2 linked regions of the Caenorhabditis elegans genome follow. The protein of the gene in region 1 purifies or fractionates together with the protein of each later gene. This does not show direct contact. Each region holds a gene or a part of one and is shown in the gene's direction. Other genes may lie near its edges.

Region 1 (8,114 bases):
CACTGGCGCTACTCCACCTTTAATATTCTGGTCAACCACAGTAATTTGAAAAGTCAAAATGTCTAAATGTTTGAATTTCTCAATTATAATAATTTTCAGGTTCACGCAGTTGGTCGTGCTGTCATTGGCCAATACGATATTGAAGGTGGCACGAAACGTTTACTAGATTTGGTTATGGATCGTCCATGGTACGAAATCAGTCGATACTTCCTTTCGTGCCTCTTTATGTGTAATGTCGGAAATGTCATGGTCAGCGAGGACATGGAACTGCCACTCGAGGAAAGAATCAACTCGATGAAAATCACACTACTCAAAAGAGATATGCATTGTGAAATGTTCAAGGAGGCTGGCGCTCTTGATGCCTAATTTATAATTATTGTTTTTTTTGCATTAAATCTCCCGAAAACCATCTTAATTTATTTAAACATTCCTCATTGTCTCTACTTGTATCTCGATTTCTGGCTATACTTTCATTTTACTGTATCAATTAATTAACTTCTAGATGCCAAGTATTTTTCTTCTGTTCGTTATGGTACTTTACTGACTGTACAATAACTTTTTTTCCGACGAATTACCACTATTTCTTTGATTGTTTTTTAATTACGTCCTTCATTTTTTATTCAATCTTAAAAATAAATCGACTGGTTTTAATATCAAAGGCCCAAATCATAATTCAATTCCTGGTGCGTGGCATATGCGTTCATGAATGCAGCGCCATGTTCCAAAGATTGGGTGACGGATTGAACAACATCTGAAGAAATCATTTTCTGGAACCATTTTGTCAATTTAGGATATTCTTCTTCTCCTGGGAATTCAATTGTTGGTAAATCGACAACTCCATCCAAACTAGCTGACCACCAAATTTTCTCAAAAAATGGAAATGATAAGTAGTCTGGATAACCTGGTTGAGATCCTGAATAGTTTGAATTTGGTCAAAAAATTGTATCGATTAATTGAACTCACCAGCATAAAAATCATTGGCCAAGAGATTTTCAGCTTGTTTCAAAACTTCAAAAACTTTTCGCTGCTTTTCATCTTTCAAAGTTCGGTCTCGCATGACGGCGAAGAGCAATGGAACTGCATGGGCTACCTGAATTGCTTATTTAAAACAAAATAGTTTAGAAAATAGAAAAATTCAAGATCATATTTGAATTTCCTCCAAAATGAATAGCCACGCCCACTCTCAAACCAATCAGAGTTTTGGACTCCAAACACTCATCTGATTGGTTGAAAAATGGGCGGAGCGAATAACTGATTTTTTATATTAGAGGAAGTTCAAAAAGGGGATTAGAAACTATGTATGTTTCCTTCCATTTTTAAAGGTATTGGTATCGCTGCGCCTTCAAAACAACTGTAGAGACGTGCAGATCTTTTTTTTTATTTTAAAAGTTTTAGTTAAAGTTCTGGTAAATTGGCAAATTTCGAATAATGTGCTTTTAGTAATTTCGAGCATTTCGGAAAGTGAAATTTAGAACTCGTATAAAACAATCATTTTTTGGACGACTTCCAAAATTAGGATAGAAGGAAACTAATGGTAAATAATTGCCATTGCATTAGTCTTAAACCATGTTTATTGTTTTTATATATAACACTTTTTATTTCTTTTGAAAAACAAAATAAAACCAAACCGCAGTTAACCTGTCCGCTAGCAGCTTTTGTTGCACCTTTTCGTACGGGTCAGTTGGAAGAATACGAGTTTCTGGAAATGCATCATCCAAATATTCAGGAATAAATCCAGACTCAATGACCACTTTTCCATTGTGCTCTACTGCTGGAGCCTTTCCCTGATAATGTTTTGTCCAGTACCATTCAAGTTTGTCAGTTACGTTGAGATTGACTACCTCCGCTCTGAAAATTCAATGGTTTTTTTCTTAAAAAAGTACTTTTCATATGTCTATTTTAGAAACTAATAAAATAAATAAACTACTCACTCAATTCCTTTAGCTGCAACATAAAGCATTGCTCTTTCAGCCCATGGACAGAATCTCATGTTGTAGACACGAAAAGATCCCTTTGATAGCGGAGGTTCCGCATCTCCTTTTCGAATTGCTTTTGATGTTACTCCGGTTAAAACCATCTATAAACATCTACATTTTGAATTTTTCTACAGAAAAATACATTTGGACAGTACAGAACAAATTTCAAGCCAAAAATATATTTTCTACTAGGAAGGGTAATTTGTGTAGAAGGTAGACATTAGAATGGTTATAAATGTATAATTTTAATACTCCAATATTTGAATTCAAACAGCAGTGATCGTGCGGAATAAAAATTGAATAACTAACTGGAAAATGTTGAAAAGCTGAAAAATTGATAAGAAAGAAAATATAGAAAACTGATAAGAATTACAAGAAGTGAAAAATGATCTGATGCAACAAGTAAACACATCAAATTAGGAGTGGAACCGCTATAAAAAAAGTTATAAGAGATCTGGAAATTAGATCATTTATGTCACTTTCAGTCTTTTAAATAGCGGAGCAGCGCCAGTTTTGTATTAGAAAACACTTATAATGGTCCGAAAATGACCTAAATAAATGACCAAATATTGATTTCCAACGTTTTCAGACAACTTTTTAGCAAAGTGCCAAAAAAACATGTGTTCGGTTTCCAAACTTATGTAGTTATCGCAGACTATAATATCACCTTCCAAACAAATGAACATTCCTCAAAACTTGATTTTAGCCCTTTTATCCTACCGAACAATGTGATATATCTGTTATCGAAAGATGAATAAATGAGATATTAAAATTAATCAAAATGTTCGAGTAGAGCTTTTTTAAATCCCAATGCAATATCAATATAAGTTGTGTACTTTAGAAAAAATCAGAATTTTTCGATCTTCGATGCTTTTCCCATTCCAACGTTCAGAGTGTCTTGACGTGACGACCAAGAAGAAGAGAAAGAAAAAAACTCGTTTTTCGCACTTTCTCCTCACTTTTTCAATGTTCAAAAAAGGATAAGGCTACGTAGACAAACTATGAATGGTTTGTGAAAATTATGGAATTTAAGTTAACTTTGGTAGAAGCTCGGTTTGATGGAAAACAAGTTTATATTGGGCTCACTGTTTTTTTAAACAGAAAATGGTTATTTGAAAAAGAATTTTCAAAAGATTATTATTTAACTCATACAAAAAACATTACAAGTAATTAAAGATAATTTCAAAATAAGTTATAATATACAAAACTCACATACAAACAACTGAGTAGGAGAGTCTACATATGAATTTCATATAATTTCATTACTCTGTTCAAATGCATCCTAACTTCATTCAAGTTCCTGAAACATTTTTTAACTGCAAAAGTATCCCATGCTTGCAGGTTTTTTTGGCTCTGGAAACATGCTGAATATTGCTGTTTTAATCGATTTTCAGAAAAAACACGCAAGTTTTAATATTTTGGAATTTTTAAGCTTATGAATTCTCCAGTTTCCACTTACAGGAAGATCAACAAACATCATTTCTCTTTTAAACTTTTTCACTTACATCGAAAATATAAGTTTAACTTCCAGGAAGATAATTCTTGTATTTATGATATTTGTGTATTTCCATGGGGTACTGTAATTGTATAGCACTAAATATTAAATTTCAATTTTTTTAATCTAGAACAAGTTCGTTTCGAAATAAAATCATTTTTCCTGAAATATGAAAATACATTCTAATTCAGAATAATCAGAATAAATCAAATAAATAATTATTCCATATTCCACCACTAATCATCAGTCATATCCATTAATCAACTTCCTTCATCATCATTCCATCCAACTGACGAACAACACAACAATTCGAATTTTTTTTCGGTTTTTTCTTCGATCGGATCAAGTTTTTCGGCGAGTTTTTGCCGCCGCCAAAGGGCGTTTACGAGAGAATGAGTATAAAAAGGATATGTGAGGGTAATTGCATTTATCTGAATTTGAATTCCATTTGGAATCAGCGAATTCTGATTCAAAATCATGTCGACTATTGGTTATATTGGTGCTTCAATTTGTCTTCTTGGAGTTCTTTCATCTCTTTTCTCAATTAGTCATATTGTTAGAGATATTAATTCTCTGCGTGATGAAGTTGAAGGACGTGTTGATGAATTCAAAGTATTAGCTGATGACACGTGGCAACGTCTTCTTGTTCTTCAATCCCCAACTGGAGAAACTGAAAATGTGATGCCATCGATCTTCCGTTCAAAGAGATTCGTCTATCCAGGAATGTGCAATTGTGACAGTAACTCTCAAGGATGCCCAGCTGGACCACCAGGACCACCAGGACTTCCAGGAAAGCGTGGAGATGAAGGAGTTGTTGGAGATCTTGGACGTTCTGGAGCATCTGGAATCTCACTTGCAGCTGTTCATCACATTCCAGGAGGATGCATCAACTGCCCAGCCGGACCAGCTGGACCACCAGGACAACAAGGACCAGTTGGACCACAAGGATTCCCAGGAGTTGTTGGAACATGTGGACCATCGGGAGATGATGGACAACCAGGACCAGCTGGACCACTTGGAGATAAGGGAGCCCAAGGACCAAAAGGATTCGATGGAGCCGATGGACCAGATGGCATGCCAGGAACTGCATACTTCCCAGGAGCTGTTGGACAACCAGGAGAGCCAGGATGGTTGGGACAACCAGGACTTCCAGGAAAACACGGAGAACCAGGACAAGATGGAGAAGAAGGACCAAAGGGAGCACCAGGAACACCAGGATCAAATGGAAGAGATGCTTATCCAGGACAACCAGGAAAGGCTGGAGAGCCAGGAGCTGTTGGTTAGTTATTTTTTATAATCTGAAGAAAATTAATTATTTCAAAAGCTCAATTCTATTTCTAGAAACCAATAAGATCTACTGAAATTTTATATTTTTTCAGGAAAAGACGCCAACTATTGCCCATGCCCGGCTCGTCGCGACTCAAAGACCGAAAGTGTTCACGAGCCACCAGCAGCTTCCCAAAATGGAGGTTACAGAAAGGCCAAGAGACACTAAACGAAGCCACAGTAAATTATTATCTTTTTTATTATCCTGTTTTTCATTCAAAACTTTTAAGAAAATTAAATTCGAAAGAAATTCATTTAAAAAACTTTTTGGTATAGGAATGACGTGGGATTTAGCTAACATTGAACAATTGAAATAAAACACTGGGAAGGAAAATAGGCAATTACGATGAGGAAAACACAGGAAACGGTGGGAAAACACGTCTAAAAGAACTACTGAAAAGTGAAATTTAGAAAAAAAAACAATGAAATGTGACAGTAACTGAGAAAATGTTTAAATACTAAGAGAAAATTGTGACTATTTCATTGGATTCCTATCATTGGGAGCATTTAATGAGCCATTAGACGAATGAGACGCGTTCCTGAAAATTTTCTGGTGTTTTTAAAACTTTTGGAATAATGAATCACATACTCGGCATTTAGTGCCCCTTTTCTCCCACCTTTTTGCCGGAAGGAAACAAATGGCGATAGCTAGGAGGCAAAAAGGTGGGAGGAAGGTGGCAAAAGGATGGACGGAAAGTGGGAAGCCCAAAAAAACAGCGGATCTAAATTCCGAGTAGTGTAAAGAAACGCCTATGATCATATTCCAATTTTCTTCATTTCTAAGATCTTCAATAAATAGTTCAATTCTGTACCTTCTTCTGGGTAAATTTGGCGAAGACTTGATCAATATGAGCCTTCACGTCAGTCATTGGCTTTGCGGCATCAACGGCCACATGAACTCCGTGTTTTTTGTAATAGTCGACGAGAGGAACGGTCTGAAAAGTATTGGTTATATTCGTTCTCTTGGATCAATTTGAAAATACAATTCAAAATGCAACAACTACATACCATTTGGTGATATTGTACAAGTCTCTTTCTAAGAGTCTCCTCGTTATCATCAGAACGGCGAATCAGTGGCTCTCCAGTGAGATCGTCCTTCATTGGAACCTTTGGTGGCTTGAATTCCAAATGGTAGCTTCTTCCGGAAGCAATATGGAACAGACGACCAGTGATACGGCGAACAAGCAAATCATCGGCAATGTTGAACTCGACGACAGTATCCAAAGGTGTCTTCCGACGTTCGAGGATCTCATCAAGCTGAAATAATGCATTTTAGATTTTATAGGCAAATATTTTCAAGAGAACTCATCTAACTTTCATAGAAAATATTAATAAGAATGAGACACGTTGTCTTCTTTAATAAATTAATTTTACCCACCTTCTCCGCTTGTCCACTGGTGCGAGGGAAACCATCCAAAATGAATCCGTACTTGCATTCCGGTTTCTCCAGCTTTTGCTCGATAAGTTTGCAGACCACCTCGTCACTGACTAACTTTCCAGCATCCATTGTTGCTTTCAGCTCCTTTCCAAACTCGGAGCCAGAGGCAACTTCAGCACGGAGCAGATCTCCTAAAATTTTGAAAAATTCATCAAATATCTATTTTGTAAGAAAAAACTCATTAGTCTGGAGTTATTTCTACGAAAAACATTTTTTTTCCGAATAAAAAATTCCTTGACTTGAAAACCTACCAGTTGCCAAATGACACGAGAAATATTTCTGAGCGAAAGCGGGAGCTTGAGTTCCTTTGCCGGATCCTGGTGGCCCAATGAAGATGGCACGAATTCCACGAGCCAAAGTTTCCGTAGGCCCCGCTGATTGAGTAGCTGGCTGAGCACTTTGTTGTGTTTTCGGGACTCCCATAGCTGAAATTATCAAATTAAATTATTTGGAAAAAAACTATTAGAGCCGTGATTGCTTGAAGAGCTTGTAAAAAGCAAAAATCGATAATATGCGAACAATGCAATACCAGTTTAGAATTAATTTTAATTTCAATTTCAAACCATTTTTCAACTAAACAATAATTGATTTTGCTGAAAACTCAGATTTTTTTTAAAATTAATGATAATCGTAGATGTTGTTAATATTGAAATAAAAACCATCAAACTAACGAACTCTTTGGTGTATTCAAAGAACAATCGGTCTTGCGAGTGAACGAGACGGCAATTTCGAGCGAAATGAGTGAAAACTTCGATAGAAATTGATAAACGAGAGAGGTTAACACGCAAGGAAAAAATCAAAAGGAAATGTGATTATTTTTCAAGAAAAAATGGGGCGACGTTAACGTAAAATTGTAGTTATGGAAAATTAAGTCGAGCGGCAGTAATTCAAGTTATTCAAAACCGGGCTTAACATTGTAAATCCGGAAGAAAAAAAAGGACTTTCTAGCGTCTGAAATAGATTATCAACTACATTTATCGTAAAAACGGCTTTCTTATCACTTATTGATGAAAAATAACTGGAGAAATGCAAGGAAAATTAATTTAAAATGGATAAAACTCAAAAGCCTTGGGGCGCAGGTCCCGCCACGATCGTGTTGGCAAAGCTGTGAACTCCTCTCGGAAAATCCATAAAACTAGCGCGAATTCAAAAAAAGACGCTCACGAGGTTGTGAACTCAAATGTTACAAATGTAATTTAAGATTTAGAACGAAACAGGCTTAAATAAGAAGAATTCAATGAAAATTACATGCTTAATTTGTTTAATAAAAATTCAAGCTTTTAAGCATGATACGATACCCCAATTTGCGATTTTAGAGCTTATCCTAAATGCAGAACATTTCAGTATTTTTTTAGGATTATCTCGATAAAAATTTTCTATACCGCCCAAAACGGAGAAAAACTACGCGCGCAAATGAGAGAAAGAGAGAAGAACGGGGTCAAGGAGACATGAGAAAAGACGGTGCGCGTAGAAATTGGTCAGAATTGTGAATTCGTAGTAGGAAAGAGGTTCCATCATTGATTTTTGATTTTCTAGTGACTGGAAATGGCTGGAATACGAGGTTCGTTTCTTTAATTAGAGTAAATCGAATATAATAATATTTTCTAGATCGACTCTCGTGCCAAAATATTCTTAATTTGCTTGTAAGAATCCCCTTGGCAACTTTATCAATTCATTTTTTCTCACATTGGTTGTTCACCAGAGATAGAGCAATTCAATTAATACAGGTCGAACACTTTAATTTTATTTTCATCGAAATTGATAATTTCCTTTCAGATTTTCACAAAAAATCCCATGTTTCATTTGCCCGGTCGTGCAGCTCAGGATTTGAGCACAATTCAGAAAATGGCTCGATTTTGGCCACCTCATAAAGGATATG
Region 2 (11,520 bases), on another chromosome or scaffold:
ATTATTTAGTGCTTCAGAAAAAGCGGACAAGTCGGGAGTCTCAACACCGGAGAAAAGCAAGGGAAAATGTAGCACAGTTTTTTCAAACTGTTTTTCAAGACTCATTGTTTTTCATAAGTAGTACTTTTGGCTTGAAGTTGAAGTGAGTTTTCAATTTTTGGGAATTTTATGTTTGTGAAAAACTATGCCTCTGAATATATTCAGTTCAAATTTCATATTCAGTACAATTATTGCACACCGATTCTGGACGTTCTTCTGCTTTACATTTGTGTGGCAATTTATTCATGTTCTTGATGGGTAGGTCATATTTTTGGAAAGCTGGAAAATTGAAAATCAGAAATACAAATATTTTCGATTTCCAAAAAGTATGTAAAAAAATCCCAAACATATTTTTTTTGATATGGGATTTGAAAATTATGTTACGATCATATTCAACATTTTTTTTTGATTTCTGGCTTTTCAGTGAAACAGAACATTCAAAACCTAAAAAACTGAAAAATTGGAAAATCAAAAAACTAAAATTTTTCATTTATATCTTGAATGCGAAATTAATGGAGAAAATTCGGTATTTGACGAAAAAAAACTGATTTTCGCTATCTAACAAGAGTTTCAAATAATTGTTTAAAAAAAACGGCGAGCTTTCAGATTCATCATGATGATGTTCAATGCTCGCTTGTCCCCAATGAAAAGAAGACTGAAAATTAATATAATCGAGACAATTACAAAATTTGATACTCGAAAGGTTTTGCCAACTCGTACCTGGTCACCGCCTACTCCAATATCATAATTTTTACATTTTGAAATGTTTTAAATATCCATCTAAAAATTTTTGATAATTTGAAGAGTGGTATTCATCTTAAATGTATACTCCATTAATTAAACATTATAAGTCTCACCATATGATTCATGAGCTTTTAAAAAAGTTTTCAGACAGATTATATTCCTGACTATCCCATCGGGAATCGTATCCTAGGAAACTGATTAGTTGAAATCAGGTGATGCGTAAACCATCACTTTTTTTTCGAAAACAAGTCAACACAATTATTTAAAAAAAAATTAGACTTTTCGATCTCGAGATCCTTAATTTAGTGTTTTTTTGCTATTGAAACACGTACAATGAACTCGACAGTTACCAACGATGTCTCCAACTACAATTTCAAAAGTTGGCCGAATTTCCTGGCTGTGGTACTTATGTTGCTGGTAAAAGTTTGAAATAATTTCTATTGAAAATGAATGAAAATTCAAGAACTCGTTAATTGGACTACCGTTGAACATTTCCATTATTCAAAATTTTGTGACTTGCAAGAAAGAGCGAACTGTGTTCAATATGATTTGTGCTTTCCGAGCATCGAATAACGTATATGTTTTATTGGTGGTTATGCTCGGAGTGTACGTTCCAGAGAGCTTAATGTAAGTTTTTTTAGGGGTTTAGAGTATGATTCGAAAAAGAGGCAAACGTTTTTTGACGTTTTATTTAAAATTTGGAAAAAAAAACATAAAAATGAAGGCTTTCAAAATTAACTTCAGAGGTACATATATCATAAGCATCTTTTCTAACTTTCAGAAATGAATTCTTAAATTAAAACGAAATTTCTCAGGAAGATATTTTATTGGGAAGACATTCTTATTAGGCATCATATTGGATTTTATTGCTCATGTTTTAATTTTTTCTTCTTCTGTTTTCAGTGGGTACTCATTTTACTCTCCAGCTGTTGAAAGCATTCTTGTGACGTTTGGTACGAATATGCTAGTTTTCAACGAATTTCAAAGTGTCTACTTATCCTTCAATCGATTTTTCGTTATGCTATTTCCTTTAAAATTTAGTTGGCTATGGGGTTTGAAACTGACATTGGTATTGCATATTCTTTATTATATAAACCGCATCTGGAATGTGGCTACGGAACACTTGAGTAGAAGTGGTACTGATTTCATGGTTACGTTTAAAACCATTTTTTTGTAATTTCAGAAAATTCAAATTTTATGCTTTTTTCCAATGAGCATTTGGCGTATATCGGGCTTTTGTCTACACCTGAGCATATGCAATTATGGGCTGTTGCTTTAATTGTTTTCCCACTTTCAATAAACGCAGTCACATACATTCTGTTTCATTATATGGTAGGGAATGTTTTTAGAATATTTTCTTAGAACTATAAAACAAATTTGGCTCTATGTTTCAGAAGAAAAAGACAATCCGCGGATCTCAACACCGGAGAAAAGCACGGAAAAATGTGTTACAGTTTCTTCAGACTCGTTTGTTTTCTTCAAGACTCGTTGTTTTCAATCACGGTCTTGTTTTCTCAGCTCGAGTAAGTCACTGGAACAATTTCAGCTTCAACTCAAAATATAACTTCAATTCCAGTAACCTTTTTGATCATAGAATCTGGACATTCTTCTGCCAAACATTTGTGTTGCAATTCGTTCATGTTCTTGATGGGTGAGTGGATTCAGACACAGTTAATTCGTAGATCGGGCACAATGTATTACGATCAGCAGTGTAAATCGGGCACAAGATCAGATTTTCAAGCTTTTCAAGCTTTCAAGAACATTTTTTAAAGTAGTTTTTCCGAACTATTATATATGTAAAACTTTTTTTTTTGAAACATTTTTAAGGCGTCAAGCAAAAAGTCAAGCTTTCAAGCGTTTACATTACCTGCGAGCCGTGGGTTTTCAAATTTTCGTACACATTCACTGTATTTTTTTAAATCAACATATGGAAAATGTTGACGCGGCTGGCATTTTATGGGTCTGTTAGGTATTTTTCAAAAATTGTTCTACAGAATCTGAGCCGCTACAGGTTCCAAAAAATTTTCACATGTAGCTGAAATTCGAGTTAGTAATGAATATGAATTTAGATTCATTATGATGATGTTCAACAATCGACTGTCCCCAATGAAAAATAAAGTTCTCCGGAAAGTGAGCCCATTGGAGTCTATTGCTGTGAAGTGTGATGACAGAAGAGCTATTTCTAATCTACCACCACCATCTACAAGATCATAAAACCAGCAATTAATCTATTCATGTAATTGATTTCAACATTTCCCTTACTCTGTATTTTCGTTAATTTTTAATAATTAAAAACCAATGAAAACCAAAACCTTCAAAAAAGGAAAACTATTATATTCAAAAAGTTTATTGAAAAACAAAAAGAAAAATGCATGAACAACATAAAACAAATTTCGATTTATTTTTATTACGTGAACCTCCAATTCGTTTGTTTCAACATTTTTATCTGATAATCAAATCTGCTCAAATCAATCATTGCTCAGGCGGAAGACCATATCTTCTCGCAAAATCTATTCATTGTCTACAGTCTTTAAAAATAAGCATCTTTCGGTAAGTCGTTTTTCATACTTTCAGGCTGTAACGGCAGTATTTCAGATAAAAAGTATTGCAATTGTGGACTTATGATTACTTATTATTTTGGCATCGGAATTCTAGGAGCATTTCTAGTTACAGCCGGAAGTGGTGAGTTGGAAGAGGGAAATAGCTCGCGCGTAAACTATTATTAAGGGTTTATAAACTAATACTTTGTTCATTTTTGAAAGAGTCGATTTTTATCTTAAGAGTGTCTTCTTGCATTGCTTTAATTTGAAAAAAAGCCAACATGTAAATACGAAATCCATGTAGCAAAAAAACGAAATATAAAATACTAAAAGTAGAAGAACTTACGTGAAAATTCAGAATAATGAGTGAAAAGTGTCATTAACACACGTGGCTGTTAGTTTTGAATTTTCCACAGTCTTTACCCACACCTACATGCCTGCCTACTCGCCTACATGTATCTCTTCCACAACGGAAACCATTTTTCAGCCCCGTCAAATCTCCAACTCATCAGCGAAGACTTCCGTATCCTATCTCGTGTGACCAATGCGATTTCCCTCCAAGCAGGTGCTATCAGGAAGAATATCAAAGTTCGTGATCTACTGGTAGAGCTGATTCGGATGCCAAGAGACCAGTTCAACAACATCATAGATGTCGACATCAAAGTGGCACGTACGGAGTTGAATAGAATGGGTGAAGAATTCGAGAAGTTGTCTCTATTGCTTCAAAATGATACGAATAGTCTGGTTGGTGATAACATGACCGATTTGAAAAACAATTTGAAGTTTCTATCACTCTTTTCTCAACAAACGTCTACCTTCTTGGATGCCATCAAGTACCCTATCAAGAACCTAATGAACAATCTAACGACAATAATTGCAAACAACTCGATGTTCAGGAGTAGTTGCTCACAAGTGGATACGGATAATTTCAAAAGTTTTTGGGACTCTATCAACAACGAATTGTCGGAATACGCCACAAATGATTTCCCGGGCTTCGCTGATACATTTGTCGCTAACAAACCAAATTTTTCCGACTGCCTAAACTATTTCCCACAGTTGCAGGCTGAGCTTGATGCTTTACCGATATGGGGTGGACTTGAAATGATTAGAAAATGGGAAGATATTATACGGTTGGTTGCAAAATTTGATGCATTAAGCGACTCATTGCGAGCTACAAATGCAACGCTTTTCCGGGTTCTTTCAAGTCTGAAAGCGACAAAATCTTTATGGAAGAGTGTACATCCTAATTACCATGCCCAGGTTATGACTCAACTCAACCGTTCTCTGTTTGAAATCATTAAACATCACATTGCGCCAACAAAACCAGTTCTAAAATACAGTGCGGGCTTCAGAAGCTCAAGAGATTTCTCTAAAATCTCCAAGGATTTGAGTAGCCCTTGGTTCAGAAGAAATATTGCTAAAGAATCGAAAACAAAGGACCTGAACCATGCACTAAAGATATTCCATGACATTTCGGAAGCCGTCACTTCACTCGATACTTCTTGGCACAATTTCACTGCTCTCACCTTGGATTTTGAGTCCTCAGAAGTTGCAAAAGCAGGACCTATTCTTGACGTTATTTCGAAAATGTCCCTTAACTTTGCAAATTATGAGTCAATTATTCAAAACGCGAGTAACAAATTATCGGAGTGCTTTTCGAATTTTTCTGTTACTTCTTTGGAGACACCCAACTCTTCCCTTCAGGAAATGATTCAAGACTTTCAACAAGCTATATCACCAGCTACAAATTATATGAAATATTTGGCCCAAATCAGAAAACAGGTCTCGTATATCAATATAAACTCAATCTTAACCATACGCCCCAACCGCACCATAAAATCGTTTTTTGACGAATACTACAAGAAGCTAAGCAATGAAATCGAAAAACAAAAAGTGAACAAAACCAATTCGTTGAGGGTGAAGACTCGTCTCAAAATCATCATTGATCAGATAGATAAAAGGGAGGTTGATTTTCACAACTTCATGACACATCTTTCACAAAACTTAAAAAATATTAAAGTGATCACAAATAAATCTTTACCAAACGACACTAAAATAGACAAACTGCTTGTCGAAATGTTGGACACGTCACAATTGAGGGGAATATCGAAATGTTTGAGGTTAATATTATTATGTCTATGCCCAAAAAATATTTAAAAATTGCAGTCAAGAGTTCATGCAACCGCTTCGAGTATTGGAGGTAATTGAAGCAATGATTACTGTTCGACAGTTTGCTGGAAATAAGACGGTGCTGAAAATGAACCAGTACCTCGATGAGCTAGCCAAGGTTAGTAAATAATAACTTCATTGCTTTTATTTATAAATTTCAGGTTAAGAACCAACTTTGGAAAGTGGAAAAACAAATCAAGTTGATCACATCTCAGTCGAATTCCAGTCACAATCTTGTTCTGAAATTGAAGACCCCTGAACTTTTTACTGCGAGTCTCGGAACATGTGCGCACGTGTTAGAAGATCTTGAAGAAGCACGACAAAATCACCAGCTTCTTTCGAATTACCCAGATTTCCCTGTACAAGTTTTGAAGACAATTTCGGGAATGGGACTCCGTGAATGGCTGGATCCGGAGCAAAAACTCCAAGTAATGCTCCAAAAGATTGATGCTCTTGATGCAAAATCAAAGATGTTGAGGAAAAATGGGAATTTATCAGAGATGGTCAAAGTGTTCGATGATGCCTCAAAAATCAATGGTATCCGTGGAGATCCTAAGGATTTATATAGACTATTCAGTAAGTAGTTAAAATGGAAAAAAAAATAGTTTTTAGAATTCTTACCGAGTAAAAAACATTGAACTTTCAGGATTATTGAAGAAGTCTAGCAAGCTGGAGAAGCAAGAAGCTGCAAAGTATTTCGAGTCTATAAAAAACTTGGATCTAGATTTCGCACGGCACGAGGCTATACTCAAAGGAGCTGAAATCACAATTTCTTCCTTGATGACCTATTTTGATGAGATATTTGGCAACAAGAAGCTTGATATCGTTACAATTGCGGTTGATAATCAACTTTCTTGGATATACATCATTATTATTTGCATTGGTGTGATGATATTGATTGGTCTCATTTGTATTGTTGCCTACGGGTTTACTCAAAATGGAAGGTCAAAGTATACAAATTTGTATTTATATTATGTTGGAAAACCAGTTCATTATGAGAACAGGTGGAGATATTCTGTAAGCTTCTCATGTTAAATCTACATTTTTTGAATCAACATTTTCCAGCTTTTCCTTGACAATCAGGATGGAAAGAACACCTTGTTGGATGCAGTACGGGAAATTAACAAAACAAATGCGGTGAATGCTGTAAAGGCAGGATCCTACATAAATGCATTTAACAGTAAGATTCAAGAAGATCTAATTTAGACGAAAAAGCTATATTCAGAGTTCGGAAATACCGCTCTGCACACTGCAACCAAGTCCGCTCTACCTGAAATTGTAAAGCTTCTCATTAAAAATGGAGCTGATCGGGAACTGCTGAATACGATGAATCGAACTCCGGAGCAGATGATCCCACTCGTATATAAAGACATTCCAAAGGACAAGGTTGAAAATTTTGACAAGATTCGAGCATTGTACAAAAAAGCAAATGGGAAGAAGCACAAAATGAGTAAGCATCAAATGTCTTGTGATAAGCTAAATAAAATTGAAAATTTTGAGATGTTCCACAGAAGTTTCCAACCACATCATTTCATATTTGGATAGACGAAAGAACCGACATCAACATAACCAACCAATTTATGGAGAAGTTTCAAGCTATTGTGAGTTATTCTTTGCACCAAAAACTTCTTATTTAAATCATATTTCAGACATCTGATGAAGCTAATTCAAACACTACACATGTCATTGTGAAGACAGATGAGAACGGAGCTCTGGAAACTGATAGTCTCGATCTACTACTTTGGGTATTCAATGGTGCGATTATTGTCAAAGAACAGTGGATGGTGGATTGTTTGGAAAATGAGACAGTTATCGAACAGGATTCAAAATATTTGGTGGAAAAAGTTAAATACAAGGGATCATATTACAATACAGTTCTTCAATGGAGTGAAGCCATGGCAAAAGGAGCCATTCCATATTTGTATGGAGTATACTCAGCGGTTGTCATGGTGGAATGCAAGAATTGTGAGCAATTTCGATTCAATCCTTTGAAGGTCATTTTATAATTTTTCAGTGCTGAAATTGAATTCACTTGTCGCAATCCACGGTGGTGTCATGATGGAAGTTTTTCCAAGAAAGGAGCTCTTCAATGTTGGATCTCACCCATACAACCATGCAAATCTTGGACCTTTGTTTTTGATTCACGATGGAAAGGTTTGTATTTTGACCGTTTAACTGTGAAACAATTTTTTTCAGATAAACTTGAGCGTCTACAAATCTGATCCGGACAAGATGTACACACTGTTCACTGAAGAAGAATTCATAAAGTTTATGCTCAAACGAGATATTGTCAAAGATATTAGTGAAACTCCGATTAGTGTTCTGAAAGATGAGAAATAAAGATTCTTTATTGATATTACTGCAGTTGTTTATTGATATTACTGCAGTTGTTTATTGATATTACTGCAGTTGTTGCAGGCACATCTTTAGGCCCAGTTTTTTCTAGCTATGTGGTCCACTCATTATGGAAATTAAAACATGAACACAGTTTCTCCACGAGAAGATCGTAACTGTACATGCATAAATATTATTTTCAGAATTTTTTCTGCTTGAATTTTGCTATCTATTTGAAAACGAGAATTTATTCAAGATTTATTAAGAGCAATCAAGAAAATAGAAAACAAATTGAAGCAGCCAAATACAAATTCAGAACTTAGGTTCCATGAGTTATTTGTCAGATTGTAAAATTATTTGTAGAAAGATGAGGAGCTACAGAGACGTTGTCAGCAGCTGTCCTGTTTATCGGATTGAAAAACTTCAGAACATCTGAAAAAAAAACATTTAACAAGATTTTCAGTTCTAGTATACCTTTTAAGGCTCTTCTGTAGTCTGTGATGACGTACATCAGAATACATGCGTCTAATGCTGGATAAAGCGCGAATATACCCAAAAATATTCCAGTAGGCATACTAAATTTCAGATTTTAAAAAATAGAAGCTACCTGAAGCAACAGAGTTTTGAATATTTGGAGATGCAATTTTCGAACTTCTCCCGATAAGAGGCTTAGTTTCTCTTCCATATCGTGATACAATTGGTAGCTGCAGAAAGTCATGATACAGTATTGAAATGAGACACAAAATGCCATGTTTACTGTGGAGAAGACATTGTTCCAACGAATGAACAAGTCAGTCGAGTTGGAAATTGTTTGCTGGAATCAATAGAATACTAGCTTAATGAAAAAGTGCAATATGGTGTTAATATGAAAAACTCGAGCGATGTCTGATAGAAGTGCACAATTAAGCTAATGGCGTTCCTTACAAAAGTAGCCGCCTAAAATCTATACCAAACAATTTATTATAATATCAAAATGAGATCTATTATATCCTGTTTTTTTCCCAAACTACTCATCCACCACCTCTCTCGACATCTGACGACCTCCACTTGCTCCGGCCACCAGCTTGATCTTCAAGTGTGGAATCTTAGTTCCAGCACTGTCCGCTGCTTTGAACGCAGCCTTCGGATCTTGCACATCATTTTCAATTTGGAGGTATTGAACGATCGCTTTATCCTTTTGAATTGGTCCGGGCATCCGATTGATTGTCAGTTGGCGGCACTTGTTCGGCTCGATGATCATGTGAGTTGGCTCAACACGAAATAGTGCATTGCCACATCTCACTTTGATCGCCATGCGTTTTGAAGTGAAGTTGACCACCATATGCTCCGATTTTCCGCCGGCATTTGGGAGTTTGGCTTCCTGAAATTTGCTGCTGTTTTTTTTACCTTGCTACTATTTTGGAAGCAATGCAAAAATATCTTACCTCTGGATCAATTGTTAGTGGCACTTTTGAAGATTCTGAGTTTGCCTCATCGATTTCGTCCTTCTTCAAACTCTCCGTCTTACTTTTCTCTTTTTCCATTACTCCGAAGTTGTAGTTTTTGAAAACTGAGAACTGATTCACTTGCTGTTTTGCTTCATCTATTTTTTAATTTGAAAGGTTAAATGGTTCAACGTGGAGTTGCATGCATTGTTCACGTATTCTTTATTTTGTGAATATTGAATTTCCCACATTTTTTAATTGGCAAACCCTTTTTTATATTAATGCTTTACGTGTATATCCTTTCACTATTCCGAAAAACCTTATTACAATTGTCGAAAATATTGAGGACCACTGTAAACTGACTAGGGAGTATTTTAACTATACGGTGCGATCGGGTAAAAGTAAACGTGTCATCCGATAGCTGGCATCTTAGGCTTTCAGAATCTGTAATTTGTTTCGGCGGAAGACCTCTTTGAGTTTGGAAATTTTCATCTGAAAATGTAGTACTGAAATCAGTGCATTTCCTATGGTTAACAGTGGATTTTGTCTCTGGCGCCAACAGAAATCTCACCACAATGGTGGACGGGGGAAAACATCGCTTCGGTGGTCGAGTGGTGAACGCATTCGCCTCTTGAGCAGAAGATTGTGCGTTCGGTTCCCACACATGGTTTAAATTTTGGCCTTTTTTTATACAAAATTTTTAGAACGGGAAACAAATGTTTAAAACAGTTTTCTGAGGTTTTTACATTACTTTTTTGCTTTTTGATTGAACCACAATTACCCTGGAAACTTTTCAGAAATTTTAATTTTTTCGAAAATTGCCACTTTTTTCTCCACCAAACCCATGAGAAAATTTGATCCAAAAATTTTTTTTAAATTTTTTCAAAAATGTATGAAATATTGTAGAGTGTCACAAATAACTTATTTTTCATTGTTTTCAATGACCGAATCACTGATTCTGATGCCGTATCAAGACGTTTTACCAAATCGATATTGGCAAAACACCTTGTCTTTGAGACTCCATATCTCCGCAGGAAAAAATTGCGCTTAAAAGTGATCAACTGAAAACTTGTTAAACGCAATGTGATCTAAAACTTTTCAGTTGAACACTTTTTTGTAAAAAAATTGGTTGCCGAGTTGGAACCAATTGATTGGAGCTTCATTATTTTTGAATATTCTAAATAGTTAAAGGTCTATATATCAGCAACCAATTTTTTTACAAAAAAGTGTTCAACTGAAAAGTTTTAGATCACATTGCGTTTAACAAGTTTTCAGTTGATCACTTTTAAGCGCAATTTTTTCCTGCGGAGATATGGAGTCTCAAAGACAAGGTGTTTTGCCAATATCGATTTGGTAAAACGTCTTGATACGGCATCAGAATCAGTGATTCGGTCATTGAAAACAATGAAAAATAAGTTATTTGTGACACTCTACAATATTTCATACATTTTTGAAAAAATTAAAAAAAAAATTTTTGGATCAAATTTTCTCATGGGTTTGGTGGAGAAAAAAGTGGCAATTTTCGAAAAAATTAAAATTTCTGAAAAGTTTCCAGGGTAATTGTGGTTCAATCAAAAAGCAAAAAAGTAATGTAAAAACCTCAAAAAACTGTTTTAAACATTTGTTTCCCGTTCTAAAAATTTTGTATAAAAAAAGGCCAAAATTTAAACCATGTGTGGGAACCGAACGCACAATCTTCTGCTCATGAGGCGAATGCGTTCCACAGGTAAACCGCGTCATGCGAGCAACTGGTGAATAACGAACGAACAGCCGCTAACACGCGAATATCTGGTCAATTACTGACGAAAAACCGCAAACATGCGAAAAACTGTTCAGTACCGGACGAATGATTTTTGCTTGATTTTGAGAAGAACCGCTTCCGGTGAAGATTGCGCGAAAGTAAGATGAGTGGTTGAAATGGGTGGCAAAATATTTTCAGCGAAACTGATGCCAAGTAAGTTGCTGCCATTTTGATATTCTGATTTTATTAACTCGATTTTCAGCCAAACGACCTGGATAATTCTTCTCGATGCTCTTCCATTTGTATGCTCGCTTCCATGCTACAATTAAAGAACGGAAGTCGGAAATTTGTGCTCAATTTAACAATGTAATCATTAATTTTTTAACCCAAAGTTTTATCAACTCGAATTTTCAGAATTAGCAGCACACTCCCATCCAAACTCCAGAGACGTCTAAAGTTTATATGGAATCTCTCACCGGAGTGGCTGTTTGCCAAGCATCTTAAATTGTGGCTCCATTCGATTTTTCCG

Evidence for each region.
Region 2: the proteins of col-90 (region 1) and C01G10.1 fractionate together in Caenorhabditis elegans (co-fractionation; one large-scale study listed by BioGRID). This does not show direct contact.

What each region holds. Positions count from the first base shown.
Region 1 is NC_003281.10:7,944,942-7,953,055, forward strand, and holds col-90 (Putative cuticle collagen 90), read left to right. Parts: upstream 1-3,896; 5' UTR 3,897-3,948; coding exon 3,949-4,750; intron 4,751-4,850; coding exon 4,851-4,966; 3' UTR 4,967-5,127; downstream 5,128-8,114. Other genes in the region: Condensin-2 complex subunit kle-2, read left to right, coding at 100-366; gsto-1 (Glutathione transferase omega-1), read right to left, coding at 654-913, 964-1,090, 1,629-1,848, 1,932-2,077; let-754 (Adenylate kinase), read right to left, coding at 5,316-5,336, 5,610-5,732, 5,806-6,054, 6,176-6,366, 6,487-6,658; C29E4.15 (DUF2189 domain-containing protein), read left to right, coding at 7,781-7,796, 7,844-7,962, 8,012-8,114. UniProt on the Caenorhabditis elegans protein: Nematode cuticles are composed largely of collagen-like proteins. The cuticle functions both as an exoskeleton and as a barrier to protect the worm from its environment.
Region 2 is NC_003283.11:15,096,558-15,108,077, forward strand, and holds C01G10.1 (BRCT domain-containing protein), read left to right. Parts: upstream 1-3,189; 5' UTR 3,190-3,333; intron 3,334-3,378; 5' UTR 3,379-3,404; coding exon 3,405-3,465; intron 3,466-3,810; coding exon 3,811-5,443; intron 5,444-5,489; coding exon 5,490-5,610; intron 5,611-5,653; coding exon 5,654-6,068; intron 6,069-6,138; coding exon 6,139-6,509; intron 6,510-6,557; coding exon 6,558-6,672; intron 6,673-6,717; coding exon 6,718-6,942; intron 6,943-6,992; coding exon 6,993-7,093; intron 7,094-7,141; coding exon 7,142-7,457; intron 7,458-7,506; coding exon 7,507-7,646; intron 7,647-7,688; coding exon 7,689-7,832; 3' UTR 7,833-7,848; downstream 7,849-11,520. Other genes in the region: srx-78 (7TM GPCR serpentine receptor class x (Srx) domain-containing protein), read left to right, coding at 18-142, 223-297, 646-787; C01G10.14 (Major sperm protein), read right to left, coding at 8,833-9,186, 9,251-9,349.